4 linked regions of the Arabidopsis thaliana genome follow. The protein of the gene in region 4 interacts with the protein of the main gene of each other region in a pairwise test. Each region holds a gene or a part of one and is shown on either strand. Other genes may lie near its edges.

Region 1 (6,265 bases), on a different chromosome or scaffold from region 4:
TAGACATAAAGCCGTTTATGTTAGCGACTACTGCAATCCTTGTGGCTCCAAATCAAATCCCAAAATCATTCCTTTGCATCCCATGTATCCCATGGGTAAACCTAATATTACTCAATTACGCCTCATCACTAACGCTGCAATGACTTGTTCACCAGATCAAAGTAAAGATTTTGTAGTGGCTGCCAATTGTTTAGGACTTGAGATCCATTTCTTTAGGCCTTGTGGCAAAACTGACAACTACTCGGGTTTAGGCTTTAAAACCGAATCCCACTTTTTTGATCAGTCAAAGGTTATGTATTCAAAGAGAGATAAAAAGTTCTACACTCCTAGTGTTGGAGGCCATTTGTTGGGTTTCTGGGATTCTTGCTTCGAGGATTTGAGTTGCGGTTTTGCAACCTTCCTGAGGTGACACAGTCCGAGTGGGAGCTCTTGGACTCATGTTCCCCGCCGACTGTACACCTCGTTGAGTCTCCCTCAGGACAGCGTTTCCTAGTCAAGTGGTACGCTCAGAACTACAAACCGGGCGAGAGGATGACATTCTTGTGTCGTGGAACAAAGCATTTCATGGTCTTTAGAGAGGAGGAAGATATGAACATGTGTTACACTGAGGACATTGGAGATCTCTGCATATTCCTCGGCAGAAGTGAGCCCTTCTGTGTCAAGGCAAGCTCATTCCCTGGCTTAAACCCTAACTCCATCTATTTTGCAGGCGATGGCTTTGGTGTTTACGATATCGCCACTAGAAAACCACGTTCCTTTCGTCCCAAGTCTCCCTCAGCCTTCTCCACAACACCACTCTTCCCTTACTGGATCCCTCCAATGCCTCTCTAGTTACTATGCAAACTTCATTAGTTATTCTCTTCTTGTATTTTAGTTGGTGGATCCAATATAGAATCCAGTTTCTTGTTTCACTTTGTGTTATGTAAACTCGAAAGAAACTAATGAAGACATGTTCACAAGCCACACACTGACACAAGATGAGAAAAGAAGAAGTTCACAAGCAGTTACGTCTCACACACTGAAGATAAAGTCAATTAACAAATGGGATTTAGTATCTTTTCATATTTTATTTCGTTAATTGGCTGTTTTCAACGTAATACATATGGTCAGATTGTATTACTAAGAAAATAAATAGAAAATGGAGAGAAAAATGAAGAAAAGGTTTTTCATTACATGGGTTTAATATAAAGTACAAGTAGACGTGTTCGTTGAAGCAAATGCTTAAGAATATATATTTAGTGTGATTTTATTTCTGTTCACTTTCTAAAAGAGGATGAAGCGTGAAGCCATTCCTGGATTGCAGATCGAAGAGCAAGATTTGGAACTAACTTTGTATGATGAAGCTTCGTGTTTGTCATTGGGGAAGTCTCATGTCCTCCCTGAAGCCATGTACTTATGGCTTCTGCTTCATATGTAAATCCATCTGCTGCTAGTTGTGGATCCTTCATCACTTCCTGAAACATTGAAAACAAAGGTTTTAATTTGTGAACTGATTCGATACAATCTTCTGTTTCTCTCCATATTGACTTTTTTATTTACCAGTGAAATGGGACAGATGAAGTACTGAGGAGCTTCACGGTGCTCATCAGATCGAGAGACCTCTTTTCTTAGCTCCTCTACTTCTATAATTGCTATGTCGCGTCCTTTAATCAATAAATCTCGTTCTTCCTTGGCTTTTCTCAACACTTTCGTTGCCAAGTTATACTTGTCTTGCAGCTTTTGTACCAACATATAAGACTCGGTTATTCGGTTCTCAGATATATACCTCATCTTTTCGAGTTTTTCTCTCACTTTCTTCAGCTCCATCTCTGTTTCTTTCCTTTGTTTCAACTCCTCCAAATAGGCACTTTCCCATTCTTTACCCTACATTTGGTCAGAAAACTTCGTTATCATCAGGAAAAAAGGACAACATTCCCAATGGGCAATGGCAATAGCTTATGTGAGATTCCAAGAAGATGTTACCCTTTTGATTGCTTCATTTTTCTCTTTTACAACTTCTTGATGCTTGAAAGCCTCCAAGCTTGCTTCTTTTTTCGATTTCTCAGCTTCAAAGACAGCTAACTGATACACATTTCCATTTCCTCTAGATATCGTGAATTGGCGCGAAGGTATAACAGATCCTCGTGAACGGACTGAATCTTGACCAGAACTTGTAGATGCATACTCTAGAGAGGTGTTGCCCATGATAGATTCCCTGCATTATACCATCACCAGATATATTAGAGCTTGTGACATGTGATTGTTCTCACAATCTCAGTTCCTGTTAAAACTCACAAGAGTGTGACAAAACACAAATATCATTTTAAAAAAAACTTCTGAAGTAGTATTTACAGTTGTACAGAGATTACAGGGACTAGGGGTAGACCTTTTATATACCAGGTATCCTTTGCAAGTAAACCATATACAACAAGTAGCAGGCGCTTCTTGACGAATGTAAATGGCTTTCGTGGACAACAGATCTGCCATCCTCCTACAAATTAAGATTAATGATGAGTCCATCGGTGAAATAACAAGAACTATGAGAAGATGAAAATCCAAAACTATTTAGTTATGCCGGTGTGCTTTGTACATTGAATAGCGTGTGTCTGACGCAGCTCCCATGACGAGCTTCTTGACATTGCGCTCTGAGATCAATTGGATGATCCCTTTCTCTACCGACTCCATTTTAATGTGTATCATCTCAGCACAGACCTAGAATATCACAATCGGCTCTCTTTATCTCTTGTATCATCAAATCACTTATTCGCAATAGAAGTAACAAAAACATACCTGCATTTGCCTGCATTTTTGTAGGTATTTGTCCAGGATCTTTTGTGTCTTTTCCTTTTCTTTTCTGTAGAGTGGCTGGTGAACGTGGACGATACAGAACTCCTTGCCTCCAGTGTTCTGTATCGCCCAAACAAGAGTGGACTTGTTCCCCAAGTCACTCCCCACTGCAACATATATCTTCTCATCCATCAGCAGCTGCTGCGAACCTGATTTGCCCATCATCTCTCTCTATCTCCATCTTGCTTGGCCTGGATTTTAGCGTTTAAGGCTGCATCGAAGCCTCATGAAGCCAACACTTTTCCCCTTTGCTTGGATCGAAGCTCCTATCTCCAACACACTCCATATGAGAACACTCAAAACATACCTCTAATTCACTCAAGAGAATAAACAAGAACAAACTTAAAATTTGCAATACGAGAAAAGAGATGACTTATCTAACAGAGGGAGCAATCAACAAGCAAGAACATTTTCTTATGTTATAACATGCACACGAAGTCAACCACGGTACCAATGACGAAACCTAGCCTTAACGCAGAAGCTGAATCATGTATTAAAATAATGAAGGCTTTTTGACTTTCAACAAGCCAAACCAGGAATCAAAAGCGACAGTATCTGTGTATGAAGAGAAATGTCGACATATTGACACAAATACACGAATTTCACAAGACTTTTGAGAAAATCCTGAAGAATACTCTCAGCATTTTCCAGGTTGGTGTCTTTAAAGGCTGCGTTAGGTTGGCTTACCTCAGTGCAATCCTGAATTTTTATACAGTTATGCCACTAGCCGCCAAAACGACCTGACCCCACTGCTAATTAAGTAAGATTAATCACAAGAATTTTAAGAGTTCATTAAAAATCACTATAGGCAATCCAAGGTAACTTCTTCCAGGTGGAAAACAAGTCTTACACGATAGTCTTGACTAAAAATGTAAGACTCATCCTAATTTTAGCTAAGCAAAGGCATCATCAGTGAGATCATGTCCAATAATTAGAGGCTAATCTTTGTTCTTAAGAGAGCCGAACATAATGGAAGAACAAAATAGTGGCAGTTCTTCTCACACAAACCGAATAAGCATATAACTTTTTTTTTCATACAGAACATATATATATATATATATATATATATATATATATACATATCCACATACAAATCTCACCAGCTTCTTCTTTTCATATATGACTGATATGGAGGACTTACACTATGCTTGAAAAAGTAAACAAATATGCTGCTATCCATGATTAGATCGTATGTATATGTATAAGGAAGACTGAAAACACTAATCTTACTCACTTACTCTGTTGCCTCCCGCAGAAAAGGCAAAAACGTTTTTTCATAAGAGAACAGGGATTGAGGGTTTGAAGGATTTTATTTTCACAAATGATGTTGAAGCCACTCTTGAATCGCAGAACGAAGAGCATGGTTAGCTATTAGGCTGGTGTGAGAAAGCTTGACATTGGTCATTGGTGAAGTATCATGCTCACTGTCCAGCCACGCTCTTATAGCCTCTGCTTCGTATGTGAAACCGTCTGCAGCCACGTGTGGATCCTGCATGACTTCCTGAAATATTTGAAAACAAAGCAGAGGAAGAACGGGTTGAGTACCATTAGACTGCAACATAACGGTTTGAGACCTCAGATAAGCAAATTTTAATGACTTTGTGATCGAAGTCTTCTCAGATTGATAATAATACTGGAAATCCATACTCAAATATACAGATTAGTTACCTGGAAAATGGGGCAAATGAAGTATGGAGGGGCTATCCGGTGCTCGTTACGGCCAAGATGGAAAGATGAAGATCCTCCACTAGAAGCCCTCATAGGTTCAAGTACCCTCCACACTTCAGTTCCAAGATCTGGACGATTCTCGCTGACAGTCTCGCAGCATCTCAATGCTAAGCGAGCAAGCTGCTCAGCCTGAACAAAGGGCCAGTCCCCTGCTAAAGGGTCCAAGAGGTCGTTCAATGTTCCATTATCGAGGGCATATTTCACTTCATTTGATATCCGTAAGGCAGGTCTCCCGGTCAACAAGCGCAATAAGATAATCCCAAACGAGTAAACATCTGACTTAGGAGTTAGCTCTCCACTACTGGAAGCTTCTGGATCCAAATAGGCAACTGTGCCTGTAACGTCAGTTCTCACACTTTTGCTTCCGTTAGGATGAAGTAGTGAGCAGGTCCCAAAGTCACTTAACTTGCTAACGAGATTGGAATCGAGTAGGATATTTGCCGGCTTCAAATCACCATGTACTAAGCTATGAGCTTTATTAGAATGAAGAAAGACAAGTGCTGCACATATCTCAGTGGCAATGCGCACACGATTTTGCCACGACAAGGGTGGAGAGTTGTCTTTGCAAGTAAGCCTGTCTTCAAGGCTTCCACCCGGAAGATACTCATAGACAAGACTCCACCCCTCTGGACATGCTCCAATTAGCGTAATGATATTTGGATGCCTCATTTTACTTAGGACATCAACCTGCAATGCCGCAAGAATAAGTCAAAGCTCCTCCACAGCGAACACTATAAAATCAAAACTACAGTAGAACTGTGTTTCAAAGTCCCCTTTTTCGTAGAGGCAGCAGTTTGTGCACAATAAACCAGTAAACAATGATGATGAAACTAAACAAGAAATTTCACTAATAATATGTCAAGAAAATACCTCCTGTTGATATTCTACAGGGCCTTGCGAACTGTTAGGATTCAACATTTTTATAGCCACCTGAGTATGACGCAGTAAACCAACGTAGATGCTTCCATATCCACCTTCCCCAATCTTCAGGGTCGAATCAAAGTGATTAGTTGCTTCCTCAATCTCGGAGAATGAGAAATCCGTGAAGTACTGAGGCAACTGTAGGGTTGAGGTTTCTGCGTGACTCCTTAACTCCTCAGCTTCTCTGAGTGCTCTGTCACGTTCTGTCTGCAACTCCTCTCGTTCATCCCTCAACTTTTGCAACAACTTCACAGCTATATCAAGCTTCTGGTTTAGCTTTTCCATTGTACCATCAGATTTTGCTATCTGGCTCTCAAGCATCGCTTTCTGAGCCATTGCACTTTGAAGTTCTTCCATGATCACCTCTTGCTCGTTTTTTATTGTTATAAATCTCTCTTTCTCTTTCGCTACTGCTATCTCCGTATCTTTCCTTCGCTTCAATTCCTCAGAATAGGCACTTTCTGATTGTTTAGCCTATAATAATTACCTATAATATCAGTATACTATAATATTTTAGCTGTTATTGGTGTAACTAGAAGCACCACTATTAAGCCTAGGGATCTCTCCAAGTGATACACTAGCGGTTCCAGTATAGTATATATCTCCAGCTAGAACATCTAGCAATCATTTCCAAAAAAGTTTTAACAGTGCCAACTAAATTATTTTTGTAAGGAAACTCACCCTTCTGATTGCATCAAGTGCGTTTTTTTCGGCTTTCTGACGCCTAAGAGTCTCTGCAAAAGCTTCTTGTTTTGAACTGTGAGCCTCTGACGTGGCTTTTCGGATTTTA
Region 2 (5,819 bases), on a different chromosome or scaffold from region 4:
TGTGGTATGTCATGGGGGTCAACTTGGAAATTTTGTACCAAAACATCTAATAATCATTGTAGTTAACCTTATATGTAATAAATAAATAAAAAACTAATGTTAGGGGGGTCAAATCTCAAATAAAATTGCCTTTTGTTACAAGTCTCCATGAGGTGATACTTTCATGTATGTTTGTCAAGGAAGGTCTTGAAAACCCTGGTGGTTCTTCCCATCTTTCTCTCAGGAATTTTACTCTCTAAGAGTTTTGAAGAAATATGTTGAAAAGTAGAGAAAATGATGAATTCAATTTGAACTTTAAAACAAGGTGAAAAGGAAATTGAAATAAAGGAGTCATGATTATCATAGAGGAATCAAAGCTCAGAGAGTGATCAGAGAAGAAGACGTCAAACTCATATATCACCGTAGAACATTCTTCAAAAAAATCTTCCCAAACTGAGAGTAATCTCTGATGTCAACCGACTCACTAAAATCAGACTCAATCTTAGGAGGAGGAGTTGGAAAAAGACTCTTCTGGATCTTTTCAGCTCCCTCCAAGCTCAATGCATCTCAACTATCACTCAAACGAAAACTTGCCATTTTTTGAATGATTCCAAAAAGTAGTTGTTTTATGAATAGAAATGCCAATCATTGGCATAAATAAACCACACAAGCCGTTCTTTATGGCCCTTTTAAAATATTGGTGGTCTTGTCTAGAGTGCACTTTACTTTCTTTCTTTTTATCATTTGGATGCAAACATTTCTCTAATGTGTGTTATTCATGTATATTAATATTTTTTTTAACATGTATTCTTTTGTAAAATCACATTTAATTATAATACTTTGTAGGTTTATAAATTAACTTTAACAGAAAAAAAAAACTAACATTTGTTAGTTTTTTCGAAAAAGATATATATATATATATATATATATATATATATATATATATATATATATGTATCTATTTAAAATTAATTTTATAGTTTTAACATCTTTAAAACGAATAATGTTGAACTACTTATTATTATAATAAACTTGAAGAAACTTAATTTTATTGATAATAAGCTACAAAAGATAAATTTAGTGAAATTCATAGGGTCTTCTTTTTTCTCAAAAGAGACAATGGTATTGTGAAAACATGATTTCGTAATCTCTTTCGTAAGCAGCATTACAACTAGTAGTAGATTTATTGGGGCTTAAAAAGCCATAAAGAAAACTTATTGATAGGGCATTAGAAAGATGAAGAAATAAACAAAGGAGCATTATGTGTACTTCAGATGACAGTGCCGGTTGGGATTAAGGCGTCTTTGATAACCGTTACAATTCCGCTCTTTATGAAATATCCATCAGTCTCTCTCGCTGCCTCTTGCACGTTGTCGCTGTTTATGATCTGTGCCAAGGTCCACAACAAACACATTTTAAGAGCAGAGCAAGTATGAACAAAGCTAAACATCCTGTGTGTGTTCCAAATATAAACACTAACCTTGACATTGTCACCGATACGTGCGTTTTTGTCGATGATGGCCCTTTTGATGTGCGAGTTTTTCCCAATACCTATGGGTACACTTCCTTTCGCGCTTAAGAGGCTCTTTTCCGTAGCAGTCTAGGCAAACAATCATCAAAGAAGACCACCATCATCAAAAGGTTGACATTACTTAGCAAGAAGATTGATTGCAAGACAGATTTTTACCTCGTAATAATCAGCTCCCATTAATAACGAATCTTCAATAATAGCACCTTCTGATATGCAGGAACGGAGTCCAACCACAGAGTGATGAATTTTGCAGTTCTGTGCCCAAAATTCATAAGACATTGGTGAATTCGTATGTCCGTAAAGCATATATCGAACAGAAGCGATTTGATTGTACCTTGATAACACAGCCCTCTCCGATGACACTGTCAGTAACATCAGCATCAAGCATCTTAGACGGTGGTAAATAACGCGGCTGTGTGTAGATCGGAGCAGAACGGTCATAGAAACTGCATCAAGAATTCAGATAAGTTAAGTAATCATTCAGATACAATAGAGAGTGTAGTAATGCGGTTACTGTACCTAAAATCAGGAACTGGTTTCTTGGTGATTCCAAGATTAGCGTTATAAAATGCCTCTATAGTACCAATGTCTTCCCAGTAACCATCATATAGGTAAGCTTGCACCTGCAGTGCCCATGATCAAAGTTAGCAGGTTTTGCCTTCTGCATAGCATAATCAGCTACAAGAAGCTGTTGAATCCGAAAGCAAACCATAGAGTAACAGAGACTTGCTTGAGCATCAGAATACAAACTAGATGTTGTAAACATGAATATAAACACTCACCCTCAGTCCAAGGGAAGTGGCACCGGGAATGACTTCACTTCCAAAGTCATTAGCTCCAGGAAACTGATTCCGTAGTAAGTCTAGCATTACATCTCTGCTTACAACATAAATACCCATACTAGCAATGAAAGGCATCTCCTTGGCTCTCTGATCATCAAGACCTAGAATTGTTGTGTCAACCTAGGAGCAAAGAAATCGAGATTTTTTAATTTACAAGGCCGCATGATGAAGCAGAGAAGTAGCGTAAAGTTTATAGTACCTTCATGGCCTTTAGGTGCTCCCCTTTTGGTTTTTCAGCAAATTCAATAATACGTCCTTCCTCATCAATCTTCATCAGCCCAAAAGCAGTGGCTCGTTGCTCGTCCATTGGTAATGCAGCTACTGTGATATCAGCATCAGTCTCCCTATGTGCTTGAATAAACTTCTCATAGTCCATTCTATACAAATGATCCCCAGCAAGAATGAGATACTCCAAGACATTATGCTCCTCGAACAACCACAAGTATTGCCTGACGGCATCAGCTGTCCCCTGGAACCAGTTGGGGTTTTCAGGACTCTGTTGAGCAGCGAGAACTTCAACGAATCCTTCATTCTTATAACCTCCCATGTTACTAGCATAAGCTCGTGAAAGATGACGATTCAAAGACGCGGAATTGAACTGAGTAAGAACATAGATCTTGGATATGTTGCTATTCAAACAGTTGCTCACAGGAATATCAATAAGCCTATAGTTAGCACCAAGAGGCACAGCTGGTTTCGCTCTCTTCTTCGTAAGTGGATAAAGACGAGTTCCAGCTCCACCTCCTAAGATTATCCCCAAAACACTCTGCAAATTGACAACAATTAACAGTTCCAATTTGATCTCAACTACATTCCTCAAAGCTTAAACAACAAAGATAAGAAGAAGAAGATAGATGATGCTTACGCTGCTAGCATCAGGATCGAGACAAGTTTGAGAGTTTTGAGAATCTGAGACGGCTTTGGGAGAGACGATGATCGGATTCCTGCGAACAACAGATTTACAAAGACGGGAGACGGTGGATTTGAGTGAAATCTTGTCGTCGGATGAAGTAACAGAGGAGGAGAAAGAAAGAGTCCTCGTGGGAACCGCCTCCGTGGCTTTTCCGGTGGAATTGGAAGTCGAAGCAGGAGGTACCTTGAGAACTCCAATTGCAGATACAGACGCCATTGTAGTATTCGATCAAAGGAAGGCAAAATTGAGAGTTTTGGAGTGAGAGTTTTGTGGTTGTCTTGTGATTGTGGAAAAGCGAAAAAGATCTCTTTTTTATTTTCTTTCTTAATATGTGATGGGTTCTCGGGAACCGTTAGTTTTTTTCAGTTGAAATTACGTTAACACCCCTTTGAGTACGTTACGTTTACCGTTGCGGAGCAAGAGTAATGGGGGTGTTTTCGGAAATCTAGTGGTAATATTTTAATATTAAATTAGTAATATTTCACAGTATTCAAAATGCTGATTATTCTGGAGGAGTCAGAACATTATTGCACAATGACAAGTCAAGATATCATATTCAAAATTCCAAAGATTACGATTATACCTAAACTAAAATCCGAATAGTGAGTGAGAAGATTCTGGGCCAAGATTGGGTCGGGTCATTTGAACAGTGTGCAAAATCTTTCGAATAGTGAGTGATTTTGCTGTGCTCATACAAATATTTACTAGGAAATGCATAAAGATTAAAAGAGCATGTTGAGATAGCAGTAAATTGATTTGGTGGCCTCAGAGCTTTATTCATATGACTAAATAGTAAACATAGTGCTTCTTTAGTTCTTTACAATAAAAAAAAAAACATTGGTCATCATGCTCTCTCTATCAATCTTCCTCTGTAAAACTCATTTCACATGATTTTGCAATTGGGTTCGTGATTGTAAACGGGTTCCCCTATATCATTGTAGGGATGTGCCGGATGGCACGGGTATGGAAACGAGGAAGGTACACCGTCTCCCTGGGGAAAGGTGGAAGGCACACCGTATCCTTGATGAGGAAAGGAGGAAGGTACACCGTATCCCTGCAGAGGCCATGGATAACACGGCACAGGTTTTGGCTCCGGAGGTTCCTTGTCATCTGGCCCTTTCTTATCGCCACCTTTTTGGTCACCGCCTTTTCCCTCTGCACCCTTTCCGTCCCCTCCTTTCTTCTCGTCTTCTTTCTTTGGTGGTTCAACTTTGGTCACGCTCACAAGCTCTGCGAACGCTACCTTCTTTCTGAGTATTTGGATAAGAGGGATCATATCAACTTCAACGCCGGTTACCTCTATCTGGTTCCTGTGATCGCCTTTTATTTCCACGGCTGACACGCCTATAAAACCATTAGATCCAACAGAGTTTGGTAATCTTTTTTGTGGAAAGGTCTTCTTACCTTTAAACTGAACTGCTTTTGTCATTGCTTTTGCTCGGGTTTTGTCATCGGTCATAGTCACTCTTATCAAGATCTTTTGCTAAAAAAATGATATGTTGTAACGTCAATCAAAGAAGCCATAAAAACACATACATAAACCATATAATACTTACCTTCATCTTCTAGTTTTGCTTGAGAAATCGCTTTGAATGTTTTGGCTTAGATTTCTTGTTTGGTAGAATACAAAGTCTGAAGAAATTTGTTTTCTTTTGTTTCTTTTCTTCTCATCAATTAGTCATTGTCGATAGTTGTGATTTCGTTTTCAGTTTGTTATAAAGAAAAGCTAATAAAACCATAACTCTTCTTTCTTTAAAGCTAGTTGCTAATTCCTACAGTCTTATTCACAATTCTTTGTTTAAAGTATTTAAAATAAAAATAAAAAATTACTTTGTTAAAAGCATTTTTTTGTGTGGTTTTTGGTCAACGTCAGAAAAATAATACAGTACTTTACAAATAAATAATAAATAATAAAAGAAAATACAGTAAACAATTATTGGATATTTAGATGATTGACTTGCATTGCGTAAGCTAAGAGTTATGCAAGACAAAAAAAAAAAAATTTATAATCGAAGATACCAAACTAAAGTCCTGACTAAGACTAATCCTTATGTTATATAATACGTGGAATGTTGGAAACTTAGCACTTAAAACATTTACAACGACAAATTAGACAAACCTTTAACCCTTTAGCCAGTGAGCTAAGGGTGTTTTCACATATTTATTTAATTTATTAACTAATTTTGTATACTAGCTATCTTCTTCTTTCATTTGGGTCTAAATTTTGTAAACTCTCTGTCATTAATTTAATAAATTTCCAACTATATCTGCTCAGCTGGACTGAAATTTCATTGATTTGATGATATTGGGCCAAGCTGGACTGAGATGTCTGTGAGAAATTTGAGTCTAACTTTGATGTCGATGTCTTGAAAAACCAGTATATGATTTTTTGAAGAAAACTTTAATGTGATTATAAGAGTCTTCACTGATTAGATGGTTTGCTTGGGATGAAGACTTTAGATAAATATTTGTGGCATACAAGAGTTTAGACAGACCCGTTGTTCATGCGTTTTCTCTTCATCAAAATTCGAAAGTGCAAGTGCTCTTTCATTGG
Region 3 (7,313 bases), on a different chromosome or scaffold from region 4:
TTGACATATGTAAGTAAATTAAAAGCTTTTAACGATTGATATCTAAATATTCAAATTTCACAAAAGGATGATTCGCTATAAATATTAATAATGGAAAATATGAGGTTTATGTCCACTATATATTGGTATATAAGTTTGACAAGACAACGTGCGATATAATACATGCGGTCTTGAGATGTGGACTTAACATAAGGTATGAGCAGAAAAAAAGATCCAAAGTTTTGATCTAAGAGGGCAAACATTTATCGTACTAAGGAGAGAACCAAATTTATGTTAATAACGATTCAGAGAAATTAAATACGTTTAGGTACTATCCATCCATTTAGATGTTTAGGGCTCATCAACACACAAATGTGGTCCATTTCTTTTTGTTCATGTGGTCCAATTTTGGTATATACTATATAGTCTATAGTACCTTTACATACATTTTAGTCGGACGAGTGTTTGTCTATGCTAAAAAATTGCTAACCGAACACCCTCATATATATATGCTCGTAGAATTATATATTCTCTTTTTAAAATTTTTTTATATAATATATTTCTTCCCCTTCACTTATAAGTTGTACCCTACCAAGAATAGCTTACTATAGAAAATTTCTACCTTAAATCCCAAATTTCCAACACAAGCTTCGAATTAATATCTATTCTGAGTTATTAAAGTATAGTCCAATTAATTATAAAATTTTATTTTTTTACATCATCTGTATTTGTTTAGCAGAAAGTACATTCCTAAGACATATATATTGTGTCAGTCTAGACTAAGTTAGTTCAGCCTAATGAAAAAATCAGGCCACAGTCACGCAGTTCTGATAGAAACAGTAACCGTAACAGTAGTTGGGAGAACTGGCACCGGAACCAAATTTGGAGTAACCCATCGAACTTGTCGATCAGAATTTGAGCTGTTGGAGAGAAGAAATTCCGATGAAATGTCAGGAGCTACCAATCTTCCAAACCATTGACAACTCGACATAAGGAATCACTAAAATTTATGTGTTTATGATCAATTAAGGTACGAACATAATTAAGAGCAACATAAACAAATTTACGTCGGAAGGTAAAAGAAAATAATCAGTTACGATGATTCATTATATCAGTTACCAATTCTTACAAAATTTGATATTTCATTCTTATTTTGTTAGTGTACAAAACTAGTTTATGTTTGGTATCAGACTATCAGTTATCAATTCATTGATCAGTTACCAAATCTTAAAATAGATTTTCCACTTTTCAGACCAATATATGTTATGTATATATCGATATCACACAGAGTCAGACATATAATAGTCATGGGACCGACATGAATGTTGTTTTGTTAACTTCTTATCGGAACACGTTCCCTATTCAATAACCACTCAAAAAGTTGAACCTTCGGAAGAAATTATATTTACTTATTTAGTCATAAAATAGCTTAGTGTGATGTGTTAATCCTACAAAAATTATAGTAGTGAGTTATTAATTGACAGAAAAGGTTTTATTTTCGTAACTATTTTCTTACATTGACTACAATAGTAGTACATTACCAATTTACCAGTTACCAGTTAATCATTAAAGTATCTTTATATTTCATTTAAAAACTCCTTACATTGTATTTAATAAATCCATCTACCCAAATCCAATGGGTCTAAAGGAGTAAAAGAAAATGGTAGTCTAGAGACTTTTCCTACATTGAGAGTATCATACGTTTGAGATTCTCTTCCCATAAATAGGCCACTTTTTCCCGGTCAAAAGAAAAATTATAGTATATCAAGTGAATAAGTTATGGAATATAGGCATTTTTTTTACAACAATATATGCATTTTGCATATTGGTTGGTCCAAAAAGATCAACGCCACGATCTATAGAACATGCTTCATTTGATGTTAAGAGTTTTGTTGGTTCAGCAGCTAAATTTCAGCCTAGCTTCCACTTTGTAGGTTCATCAATTTCCAGAGCAAAGAGAAGATCGATACTTAACTTGAAATTGAAGAAAAGGACATCATTTTAGTTTTTTTCCTTCCAATTTAGCAGGATAAAATATTGTAAAATGTTCCGTGTTATTTTTGTGTTTGCAATTATAAAATTACTATTTTTCCTAAGGTTTTATTACAATTGGGTCAAATTCTTTCGTGTACTTATTAAAACACACTATATTTAATTTTATCTAATATATATATCTTTGAAATTGTAAGCACAATGTTTCTCCCTGTTTAAAGGAAAAACAGAAAGTCACCTTAAATAAAATTAAAATTTCTCCGTGCATTTAACCAGAAAAAAACTTGTCTCCATGCAAAAAGAAAAATTAAAAAACCAAAATACAATTTGCATTTTGAAAGAATATTTAAACCCTATATATAGTCGTTATAGTGTTACTGTAGAAAGTATTAAGGAGTTAAAGATTATTCTCCTTTAATATCTATTGAGTTCTTTGGTCTGATTTCTTAACCTTAAAAACAATAACAAAAGTCCGTACGGTACGGAAACAATGTAAGCTAAAGGGAGGCACAAAACTAACGAACGAGTTACAAGCACAGTAAAAAGTAGCCAATGAGGACTCGACAACACATCAAATGGTTTATTTCCCAAACAGCCCTTAAAACTTTATCTCCACTCTGGTCTCTTCTTCCACTCGTATGTAGCTTTTGTGTTTTTTTTTTCTTTCTTTTTTTTCCACAAATATCATCGTCTATGTATTCACGTCACATACCGTATTTATACCACATCACTTACGTCACTGTAGACTCACGCGAAACCCAACAAAAGTCCATAAAAGAAAAAATAAAAAAAATAAAATAGCTATTATCACATTCATCAACACAAAAGATACCCAGAGAGACATAAGAAAGAAAGAGAGAGAGAGATACTTTGGTCATTTCAGGGTTGTCGTTTCTCTCTCTTGTTCTTGAGATTTTGAAGAGAGAGAGATATGGGAAGAGGTAGGGTTCAGCTGAAGAGGATAGAGAACAAGATCAATAGGCAAGTTACTTTCTCAAAGAGAAGGTCTGGTTTGCTCAAGAAAGCTCATGAGATCTCTGTTCTCTGCGATGCTGAGGTTGCTCTCATCGTCTTCTCTTCCAAAGGCAAACTCTTCGAATATTCCACCGACTCTTGGTAAATGTTTTTTTAATGTTTTATATTATATATCACATCGATCATATCTATCTGTTTTCTTGATCTTTAACCAGATTTTGTTTTTTATTCGTACTTCTCGATCTCGATCGTCGTCAGCCTTGGAAATAAATCCAAATCTCGTATCTTGGTCTTTCATATCTTCTCTAGATTTGTTTGTTCCCTAAGAACTGGCTCGAGAAATTAGGGTTTTTTTTTGGGATTTTACGTACGGACGCATGAAAAAGCTGTTTATGTTTATTTCTAAATTTCCTTTCCTTTACCCAATTGAAAATAGCATAAAATTATGAAACTTAGTACACACACTCACGATTTGATTGCCCCTTTTGATGTATGGAAGCACGTGCACTCAGACACGTACGAAGATATGTATGTAGATAACATGTATAATAATACTTGAGTATACCATATATTTGAAAGAAAGGTTGATTTGAAACGATGAAATAAAGCATTTATAACAAGGATGTGCTATAATCCCCAATGGACAATAACATAACGTTAAACATATATGTAAGTTCGTACTGATATTTTAAATGCGTTTTGTGAAAGTGTATATATATGTTTTTATGTACGATCATAGAGATTTATAGTGATCGTTTGCTTTGATAACCGAGTCAGGAGGGAAACTCGAATCTTTAAATTGAATTTGTACGTATGTTTTCTATGATGTTTTGTGGACTCACCAAAACCAGGTTCTATATACATTTTTGTGTTATATTCTTATTTTTAGCTATTCTTTGTCGGTATACCAAATACGGTAAACTTTTGGCTTGCAGTTTGTAACAAATGTTACACATTATAACATGTGAAATTATAATAATTTTTATGGATCAAATTAATCGAGTGTTGACCTTTTTTTTCTTTCTTAAATCTAGCATGGAGAGGATACTTGAACGCTATGATCGCTATTTATATTCAGACAAACAACTTGTTGGCCGAGACGTTTCACAAAGTGTAAGTTTTAGATATGTCTCTTTTAGCTACTTAATGTTGTATTTTTGTTGTAGTAACTAATGTTTATCATACACCAATGTTGTAGGAAAATTGGGTTCTAGAACATGCTAAGCTCAAGGCAAGAGTTGAGGTACTTGAGAAGAACAAAAGGTATATATATGTTATAATTTCAAATTTACAAATGATCGCACATATATATTTCAAATTTATATATGTGCACAATGTCAAATTAAGATCGTGCTAATCAAATAGCCAAGTAAAACATATATTTACAAGAGTATTTGTCCCAAGTTAACTAAACTTTTGGGTCGCACATACAAACTTCTAATGTATTCAACTTTTTTCCTTTACTTAAGAGGGAATGAATGTGTATTGATCGTGACTTCGTTATTGCTCATATAAGTTTATGACACTATACGGTTATGGGGGAATTGTGTCTTGGATCCTCATAAAGTTCATTTTCTGTTGTCAATTTGATCATAAAAACTAAGGCATATCAATGGTTTCTACCTTAGCAACAACCACGGTTTGCTTATATAAGCAGTAGTCACAAAATACGAAAATGTGTAGGAATTTTATGGGGGAAGATCTTGATTCGTTGAGCTTGAAGGAGCTCCAAAGCTTGGAGCATCAGCTCGATGCAGCTATCAAGAGCATTAGGTCAAGAAAGGTAATAGGACAACATGGATACATAGTTACATACGTCTACATATGTATGTAAAGCTTTCGATCGAGAAGTTGAGTTTGGCAAAGAATTCAGAATTTTAAATTTGAGATGTTATTAATTAACTAATGTCTGATGTTCGCAGAACCAAGCTATGTTCGAATCCATATCTGCGCTCCAGAAGAAGGTAAAGTTTCAACTTTTTGTTTAGATAGATAATATATATAACAACCGAAAAGTATTGTTTTCATATATATATATAACTATGTTTGCAACCAATATCAAATCACAATTAGGTACATCGTAAAAAAATCATTTTGAGGCATAATTCTACTTGTTTCTTTTAAATCATCAGGATAAAGCCTTGCAAGATCACAACAATTCGCTTCTCAAAAAGGTAAGTACAACTTATTTTTGATATAAGTGGTTATATATGAGTTTAAAATTGATAGAAGTTGAAATAATTAACTACAGTATGTCATCTCACCATAATTTTTTAAAAAGATTAGGTTTAACAATGTTTTATATATTATAAAAGTATTTAAAAAATATGTGACTTTACTACATATATAATTCTCTAATTTTTGTAATTAATCCTATTACATAAACAAAATATAATAGCAAAAAACCGGTACTAATATATAATGGAGACCAAATATATATTTATATTAATAATGTTTCCATAATATCTGAGTGAAGAATTTAAGTAGATGTAAGATAAAAAAAATTAGAAATGGTTTTTAGTTTTTTTAGCATTAGAAATGGTCATTATCTAATCCCAAAAAATGGTCATTATTTAATCCTCTATTGATAACCCTTCTAATAAAAATCAATGTTGAGATCATGCAGCTATCTAGACGTAAACTAGTTATACATATATCAAAAGAAAAAAAAATGTTTAGATCGATTTTAGTTTACCTTAGTTCTTGATCTGTATATATATGAAGTTGATATAAATTCTTCGTAAGACTCAAAGTGGTAATGTTTTCTAATATTTGTATAATTTGTTTCTGACAACTCAGATATTTTATTTATAGAATTTTTGCAACTGTAGATTTATGCTGGTATATATTATTACTAACTAATGGCAAAACAATAATTTTAGATTAAGGAGAGGGAGAAGAAAACGGGTCAGCAAGAAGGACAATTAGTCCAATGCTCCAACTCTTCTTCAGTTCTTCTGCCTCAATACTGCGTAACCTCCTCCAGGTCTCGTCTTTCTCTCTCTCAGTACTAGTCCAAATTAGATTAAGAGGTTGATTAATTGTGCCATGTGCATATATATAATTCAAATTTGTACATGTATATCTATGAATGATTCTGATTAATTTAATTTTATGGGCAGAGATGGCTTTGTGGAGAGAGTTGGGGGAGAGAACGGTGGTGCATCGTCGTTGACGGAACCAAACTCTCTGCTTCCGGCTTGGATGTTACGTCCTACCACTACGAACGAGTAGAACTATCTCACTCTTTATAATATAATGATAATATAATTAATGTTTAATATTTTCATAACATTCAGCATTTTTTTGGTGACTTATACTCATTATTAATACCGATATGTTTTAGCTAGTCATATTATATGTATGATGGAACTCCGTTGTCGAGACGTATGTACGTAAGCTATCATTAGATTCACTGCGTCTTAAGAACAAAGATTCATATCTTGGTAATGATTTCTCATGAATAATTAATGTAACTTTTACTTTTTAAACTGTGGTGAACGCAATATATCAATATTCTATCATTTGTAAATGCGATCACTATGTTTTTTATGACTGATATTCAAAATTGCTCAAATTTAGTCTTCTTGTAAATGTGCTCATTATTTGCGCTTTAAAGTTGTCGCAGCAAGGTACCGCATGGCACAAATGATTATTTGATTTTTGAAAAATGGAAAAAGGTTTGTATAAATACGATAATTGTTCAAAATATTCAAAAATATTCTAAAAGTGATTCTATATTTTTTTTATAAACAACTGAATATGGTATATGCATGTGTTTTAAAAATTTATAAAATATTCAGTGAGAAAACAAAGTATGTGATTCTATGATGGTATATAATCCAAAAATAATTAACAACTGAATATGATGTATTATCATCCAAAAATGTCAATGAGCAAAATTGTTCTTTTACTATTCAAAATCCAAACACAAGGAATACAAAGCTATTACGTATACAATTCAGGAATGTCCTATCACAATATAGATACAACCACACTTTGTTCCTACCCTTAAAAGACTTTAGAACACATGTTCACGACTTAAGTAATATTGTATGGAGGAGAAGAGACTTTTGACTCTTTCAAAATCTGGTTCATTGACTAAGAGAAAGAACAAGAAATGTCTAAGTCTTCTCAACCCCTTTCCTACGTTCAATAGTAACGAACAAATCTACATTATGCAAACACACACACACACACAAACAAACACACACACACTCGCATGTAATCTCAAGTTCTAGCAGAATGGATTTACTTTCTTGTTTGATAATCCATCTTTTACGTTTACAATCAGAAATATCTAAAGACAAAACACACACAACCACAATGTAGTCTATTTGTTCCTACCCTTAAAAGTCTCTGTTGGC
Region 4 (5,092 bases):
TCAAGTGCCTGAAATGACAGATAAGCTAAAAATCAATGAAACTGCTAAAGATACATTATGTATATACACATTTTGCTTTGTGAGAAGAAAGTTACATGGTTTGGTGGAATATGTCTGCCGCTCATAAGATCCAGTAACAAGGTTCCGAAGCTAAATGTGACACTCTCCGGTATCACAGTACCTAACAATAAAAGTAAAAGAAAAACATCTTTGAGATTTCAGCTGATGAAGTTTTCTCTCAAGAAAATTAAACATAAAACACATACCTAGACGTAAATATTCAGGAGGAGCAAATGCCAAGTTGGTACTATAGCTCTTTCCCTCTCGGCTACACTTCATGAGACCAAAACAAGACAGCCTAGGATTCCCAACCTGTTCCATCACTTTTATAAATAACTTATGATAACATCAAACCGCGTATGAAGTTTCTTACCTTGTCAAACAATATTCTGTAGGTGTTAAGATCGTGATACAAATCTATTCCCCAATCATTACAGTACTCCAAGGCTGTTGCAGTATGTAACGCAACTCTCAACCTCATTTCCCACTTCATTGGTCTTTTCTCCCCTGAAAAACCATTTTAGAGTAAAAACAACTTAGACACAATAATGAAACTCTAAAGTAAAGTTTAAGGCCAAAAGAGATCAAGAACTTGAAATGTTTGAGTCTCACAGTGAAAGAGATGCTTAGCAAGTGTTTCATTAGGCATGTACTCAGCAACAAGCAACCTCTCGTGACCTTCTGAGCAACAACCGATCAAATTGGCCATATGCTCACTCCTACATCTCCCTACAGCTTGTGCTTCCTCCTGAATAACAAATATGCCATATTCAAGAAATTTTCCTCTGCAACAGATCAAGCATAGAACCGAATTGAATCTTTACTAAGTCAAACAGACTTGAAATTTGCCTCCTCTGCAACAAATCAGAATCCAGAACATTGCAACATTCAAGAGAAGTATCACGGAGTTAGTAACCAATAAAGTCAAATCAGATGAATAAGCGATCACTAGTCAAATCTTATACAAAACCAAACAGAGAAGAATCAATAAGTATTGATGGGTAAAGGACACGAACGATGAATTCTAAAGAATCAGGCCATGAAAGCCGTTGAAACCGCTTGACGGCGATCTTTCTTCCGTCGTTGAGCTGGCCTTTGTAGACGATGTTAGGAACCCTCTCGTTGTGCTCCGACACGATGTTGTCGGCGGAGAATCCGTCAGTTGCGACTCTCAACTGTTCCAAGCTGAACTCCAGGAAATTAGGACAAGTACTTCCTTCATCTTCTTCTTTATTATCTGCAGCCAAAACTATTAGGTTAGTTCTCTCGATCATCGTCTTCTTCAGAATCTAATTAACGCATAGGAGGAGTGGCTGGCGAATTCGTTGGATTTTACCTAGATCGTCGATGACGGTGATGGTGGATGTTATCGACGGAGAAGACGATCGACGCCAACGTTTGAAACAAATGCAGCCCATCGCCGGCGACAGTAGTTTCTCCGGTGGAGAAAAACTTTTCAAGTGCTTGGTTAAAAACTCCCGCCTGCAGGGAGAAAATAAATTATTATTTTTTTCTTTTTTGCCTAGCGAATATTGTTGGAAAGTTTTACGGAGAAAGTGGTAAAATAGACCCAAAAATATCATTTATTTATATATCACATAATTAAATAGTTGATGACCAATATATACTTTTTTTTTTTTTGAAAAGATCAACCTTTATACTATTATAAGGATAAAATGTCGACATGATCTATGTATTAATTTAAAGAAAATATTGTTTGCTTGTTCCATTTAAATTACTCGGTATTAGATTAATTTTGAGCATAAACATTACAGGTTTTTATTTTGGTAAATAATCATTAGACTGTTGAGTTTGGTCTTTACTTTAGCCTCAATTTTAAAGTCTATATTCAATGGATTTTGCTTACATACATTTCATTCACGTTTAAACCGAAATTAAAATATCTCATTTAAGTTGTAACCAAAAAAAAAAAAAACAGAAAAATTCTCATTAAAATTAATTTTTGCTAGTTACCGCAGCTTTTCGAGACTGGGTGTGTAATATCCATCACACTAACCTTTTTTTTTTTAATCCATCCATACGTTTAACTACATTTAAGCAAATATCGCTATCAAATCGTTTTGGTATATTTCGCTCATTACTGGCAAAATTCACTCTACAAAAAAAGTCTAGTTTGTAATGGGACGCTCGTTTTTAGGTGACTTATATAAAAATAAATAAATAGATTAAAAAACAAATAAAATCAGTATAGGCCTAAATAAAAGTTAGCTTACGGACCATTTATGATGAAACTTGGGCCCTAATGCAAAGCCCATTAATTTTATCTTTGGAGTCTGAAGTCTCTCCTCTCTGTGCTTTCACATAATCACATTGCATGATTGATCAAATACTCGATTTTCCGTGAAATCTCTTTGAATATTTCGATTCCTTGTTACCATGGCGCTTCATGGGTCTGGAGTTTTTTGTAAAGTAAGCTATAATTCTTCTCTTTGAGATTTACTTCCTTGATTCTTCAGCTCTAATCTATACTTAAATGTTTATCATACGTTTCTCGTAAGTAATCTCGAAATTTAGTCGATTTTCAATAAGAGCCCATTGATATTGGATGATTTATGGTTCATATACAGAGTTCTAATCTTGTCTGGTGTGAGAATTCTTACGGATTAGTAGGTATTGTACTAAGATTAAACCCTAGAAGAAATTCGATCAGAAAGTGTTTGAATTTCAACACTGAGATGTTCAATATCCGAATTTGTTGCTACTCCACTTGATGCAAATGGTTATGTGATTCTATTGTTGTGCTAATATGGCCTTGAATCGTTTGCTCCCTGATAGGTTTCAAACATGGTAGAGATCACTTCTCCGTTTGGTGGTTCCATGAGGCTGCTTCACTTGCCTAAATCTTATCCGATTCACTGCAACATGGTTTCAGCTAGCAATACATTTGGGTCAGCTCATCTCAAGCTGCAAAACAAAGAACCGTGTGAGTCTACTTGATTTTAGTTCGAGCATCTTATCTAGTAGAAGATCTGGTTTTGGATAAGACCGGTTTCTTTAGACTTGGTTCTGATTAGTGTTCTGGTAACATTTGAAGCAGGCTCCCGTTTAAGGCCTTGTCGAGTCAAACGCGAAGAAAATAACCAAACTGCGGATGTTGAAAGCATTTCAATGGATGAGAACACGTTGAAGCAAGATCTCGAGACTGCGGTCCAGGAAGAGAATTATGTGGAGGCAGCTAAAATCCGTGATAAACTAAAAGAGCTTCAAGAAGACAACAAAGCCTCTGTTTTATCAGCCAATTCTCGGTTCTACCAATCTTTCAGAAACGGGGATTTAGCTGCGATGCAATCACTATGGTCAAAATCAGGAAACCCGTGCTGTGTACATCCAGGGGCCAAAGGCATAACTGGTTATGATTACGTGATGGAAAGCTGGGAGCTTGTGTGGATGAACTATGAGTTTCCGTTACTGATTGAGCTGAAAGATGTCGAGGTTCATGTCCGAGGAGAAGTAGGTTATGTAACGTGTATGGAGTTTGTGAAGACGAAAGGGAGTAGTAGTTGGGGAGCTCAGTTTGTGTCGAATGTGTTTGAACGGATCGATGGACAATGGTTTATATGCATTCACCATGCTTCTCCTGTTGATATTTGATCAAAGAATCGAAGAAACGATACACATTTTCAAAACGTTTTATTTTTATATGCGTTTGGAGGTTGCGGTGGGATACATTGGTGGTTTGCTTAAGGGTGATGAAGGACTGTTTTTTATTTCTGAGGTTGGCGATTGGGAATGAAAACGCCACACAAACGAGAAGAGGCATAAGTTGTGACGTTTGTACTAGAAGAGGCACAAAGGATCATTTTATTATAACCAGAGCCTTGTAGATCTGGCAAATCATGTAGACAATGAAAAATGAGAAGAAAAATAAACTCTTTTTATTAGAACCAAGACCTCATGAATCTTGGTCACTCACAAAGTAAAACATAGGAAAAACACATTGAAACAGAAATAGCTTAAAGCTCATCCTTCTTGAGCGCGGATGGACGAACACCTTGACTGAGGAAATCCTTGTAATACTTGCCGGATTCTTTCTCGTAACGTGTGAGGTTATTTTTGAAATCAACGTAGTAGAGTCCAAATCTGTTTTTGTAACCATCTTGCCACTCGAAGTTATCCAACAATGACCATACAAAGTATCCTGTAACATTCACTTTGTCGATGCTGCAGATATTACACAAATGTTTTTATTAGATTCTTCACTACAATTGTTAGTATATCAGATGAAAAGGAAATAGGACATACCAAACAGCTTCTTGCATACTCAAAAGATGCCTCTGAAGATAATATTTCCTGTTATGATCAGCGGTACCAACAGCAACAGAATCTGAGGCCCCTAGTTCTTCTCCATATCCTAAAGAAGAACATCAACATCAATATATTTAGTTCTAAGATAAAATCAACCAAATAATAGTTGACAGTAACAATAGAATCTCTAGTTACCGTTTTCCATGATCATAATTTCCGGATTTGCGTATTTGTCCTTAATGTACTTCAACAGACTTCTAAAACCTCTCGAGTAAACGTTCAATGCAGCGGTCAAAGGCTGAAAATAAAACAGAGGTGAGAATGTTGCATCATAGACAAATGTAGCACATAAAAATTTCAGATTGCTATTAAATTTATACCTTGCTACCAATGGCGTAATTTTGCGCATTCTTAGCTGAAAAGAAGAGATAGGTTTCGATTAGTACCAAAAACAAACATTTTCCCTTTGATTTGTTGCCATTGGTTTTCTTGGTTCGGTTTCAAGTAAGGGCAAAACAAACTTACACTCCCATGTAATAAGAGAATCTTGCATCCATCTTGGTTTTGAAGGATCAGGTTTCTCCAAATGGTTTGAAAACACTGAAGTATAGTAGTTGAGCCCAACGAAATCGGTAGAAGCTTTCAGTTTTGCTTTCTGCTCAGTTGTAAATTTAGGCAATCTATGTCCAACAATGTCTTTCATGATCTGTGGATAATCTCCAAATGTAGTTGTGTCTAGATGCCTACAAAAACCATCAAAATATCG

Evidence for each region.
Region 1: the proteins of AT3G09250 (region 4) and AT2G45920 interact in a two-hybrid assay, tested with the Arabidopsis thaliana proteins (one large-scale study listed by BioGRID).
Region 2: the proteins of AT3G09250 (region 4) and ADG1 interact in a two-hybrid assay, tested with the Arabidopsis thaliana proteins (one large-scale study listed by BioGRID).
Region 3: the proteins of AT3G09250 (region 4) and AGL8 interact in a two-hybrid assay, tested with the Arabidopsis thaliana proteins (one large-scale study listed by BioGRID).

The regions. Positions count from the first base shown.
Region 1 is NC_003071.7:18,896,089-18,902,353, reverse strand, and holds AT2G45920 (U-box domain-containing protein), read right to left. Parts: upstream 3,726-6,265; 5' UTR 2,992-3,725; coding exon 2,770-2,991; intron 2,692-2,769; coding exon 2,570-2,691; intron 2,471-2,569; coding exon 2,366-2,470; intron 2,195-2,365; coding exon 1,963-2,194; intron 1,864-1,962; coding exon 1,540-1,863; coding exon of another isoform or gene 1,455-1,539; coding exon 1,257-1,454; 3' UTR 1,051-1,256; downstream 1-1,050. Other genes in the region: AT2G45930 (uncharacterized protein), read left to right, coding at 1-409; AT2G45910 (U-box domain-containing protein kinase family protein), read right to left, coding at 4,142-4,327, 4,495-5,241, 5,425-5,949, 6,157-6,265. UniProt on the Arabidopsis thaliana protein: Functions as an E3 ubiquitin ligase.
Region 2 is NC_003076.8:19,567,988-19,573,806, reverse strand, and holds ADG1 (ADP glucose pyrophosphorylase 1), read right to left. Parts: upstream 3,570-5,819; 5' UTR 3,482-3,569; coding exon 3,218-3,481; intron 3,119-3,217; coding exon 2,552-3,118; intron 2,473-2,551; coding exon 2,293-2,472; intron 2,134-2,292; coding exon 2,030-2,133; intron 1,957-2,029; coding exon 1,845-1,956; intron 1,766-1,844; coding exon 1,667-1,765; intron 1,580-1,666; coding exon 1,460-1,579; intron 1,367-1,459; coding exon 1,250-1,366; 3' UTR 1,003-1,249; downstream 1-1,002. Other genes in the region: AT5G48290 (Heavy metal transport/detoxification superfamily protein), read right to left, coding at 4,149-4,748, 4,822-4,827. UniProt on the Arabidopsis thaliana protein: This protein plays a role in synthesis of starch. It catalyzes the synthesis of the activated glycosyl donor, ADP-glucose from Glc-1-P and ATP.
Region 3 is NC_003076.8:24,501,603-24,508,915, reverse strand, and holds AGL8 (AGAMOUS-like 8), read left to right. Parts: upstream 1-2,646; 5' UTR 2,647-2,902; coding exon 2,903-3,087; intron 3,088-3,599; exon of another isoform or gene 3,600-3,615; intron 3,616-3,980; coding exon 3,981-4,059; intron 4,060-4,144; coding exon 4,145-4,209; intron 4,210-4,629; coding exon 4,630-4,729; intron 4,730-4,868; coding exon 4,869-4,910; intron 4,911-5,078; coding exon 5,079-5,120; intron 5,121-5,828; coding exon 5,829-5,932; intron 5,933-6,068; coding exon 6,069-6,180; 3' UTR 6,181-6,482; downstream 6,483-7,313. UniProt on the Arabidopsis thaliana protein: Probable transcription factor that promotes early floral meristem identity in synergy with APETALA1 and CAULIFLOWER. Is required subsequently for the transition of an inflorescence meristem into a floral meristem.
Region 4 is NC_003074.8:2,836,623-2,841,714, forward strand, and holds AT3G09250 (Nuclear transport factor 2 (NTF2) family protein), read left to right. Parts: upstream 1-2,377; 5' UTR 2,378-2,457; coding exon of another isoform or gene 2,458-2,490; intron 2,491-2,631; exon of another isoform or gene 2,632-2,856; coding exon of another isoform or gene 2,857-2,865; coding exon 2,866-3,004; intron 3,005-3,118; coding exon 3,119-3,632; coding exon of another isoform or gene 3,633-3,672; exon of another isoform or gene 3,673-3,733; coding exon 3,734-3,796; exon of another isoform or gene 3,797-3,938; coding exon 3,939-3,963; 3' UTR 3,964-3,992; downstream 3,993-5,092. Other genes in the region: BSK9 (kinase with tetratricopeptide repeat domain-containing protein), read right to left, coding at 1-8, 96-181, 267-372, 434-567, 673-808, 1,077-1,297, 1,397-1,478; PYK10 (Glycosyl hydrolase superfamily protein), read right to left, coding at 4,035-4,242, 4,324-4,432, 4,522-4,624, 4,707-4,741, 4,852-5,069.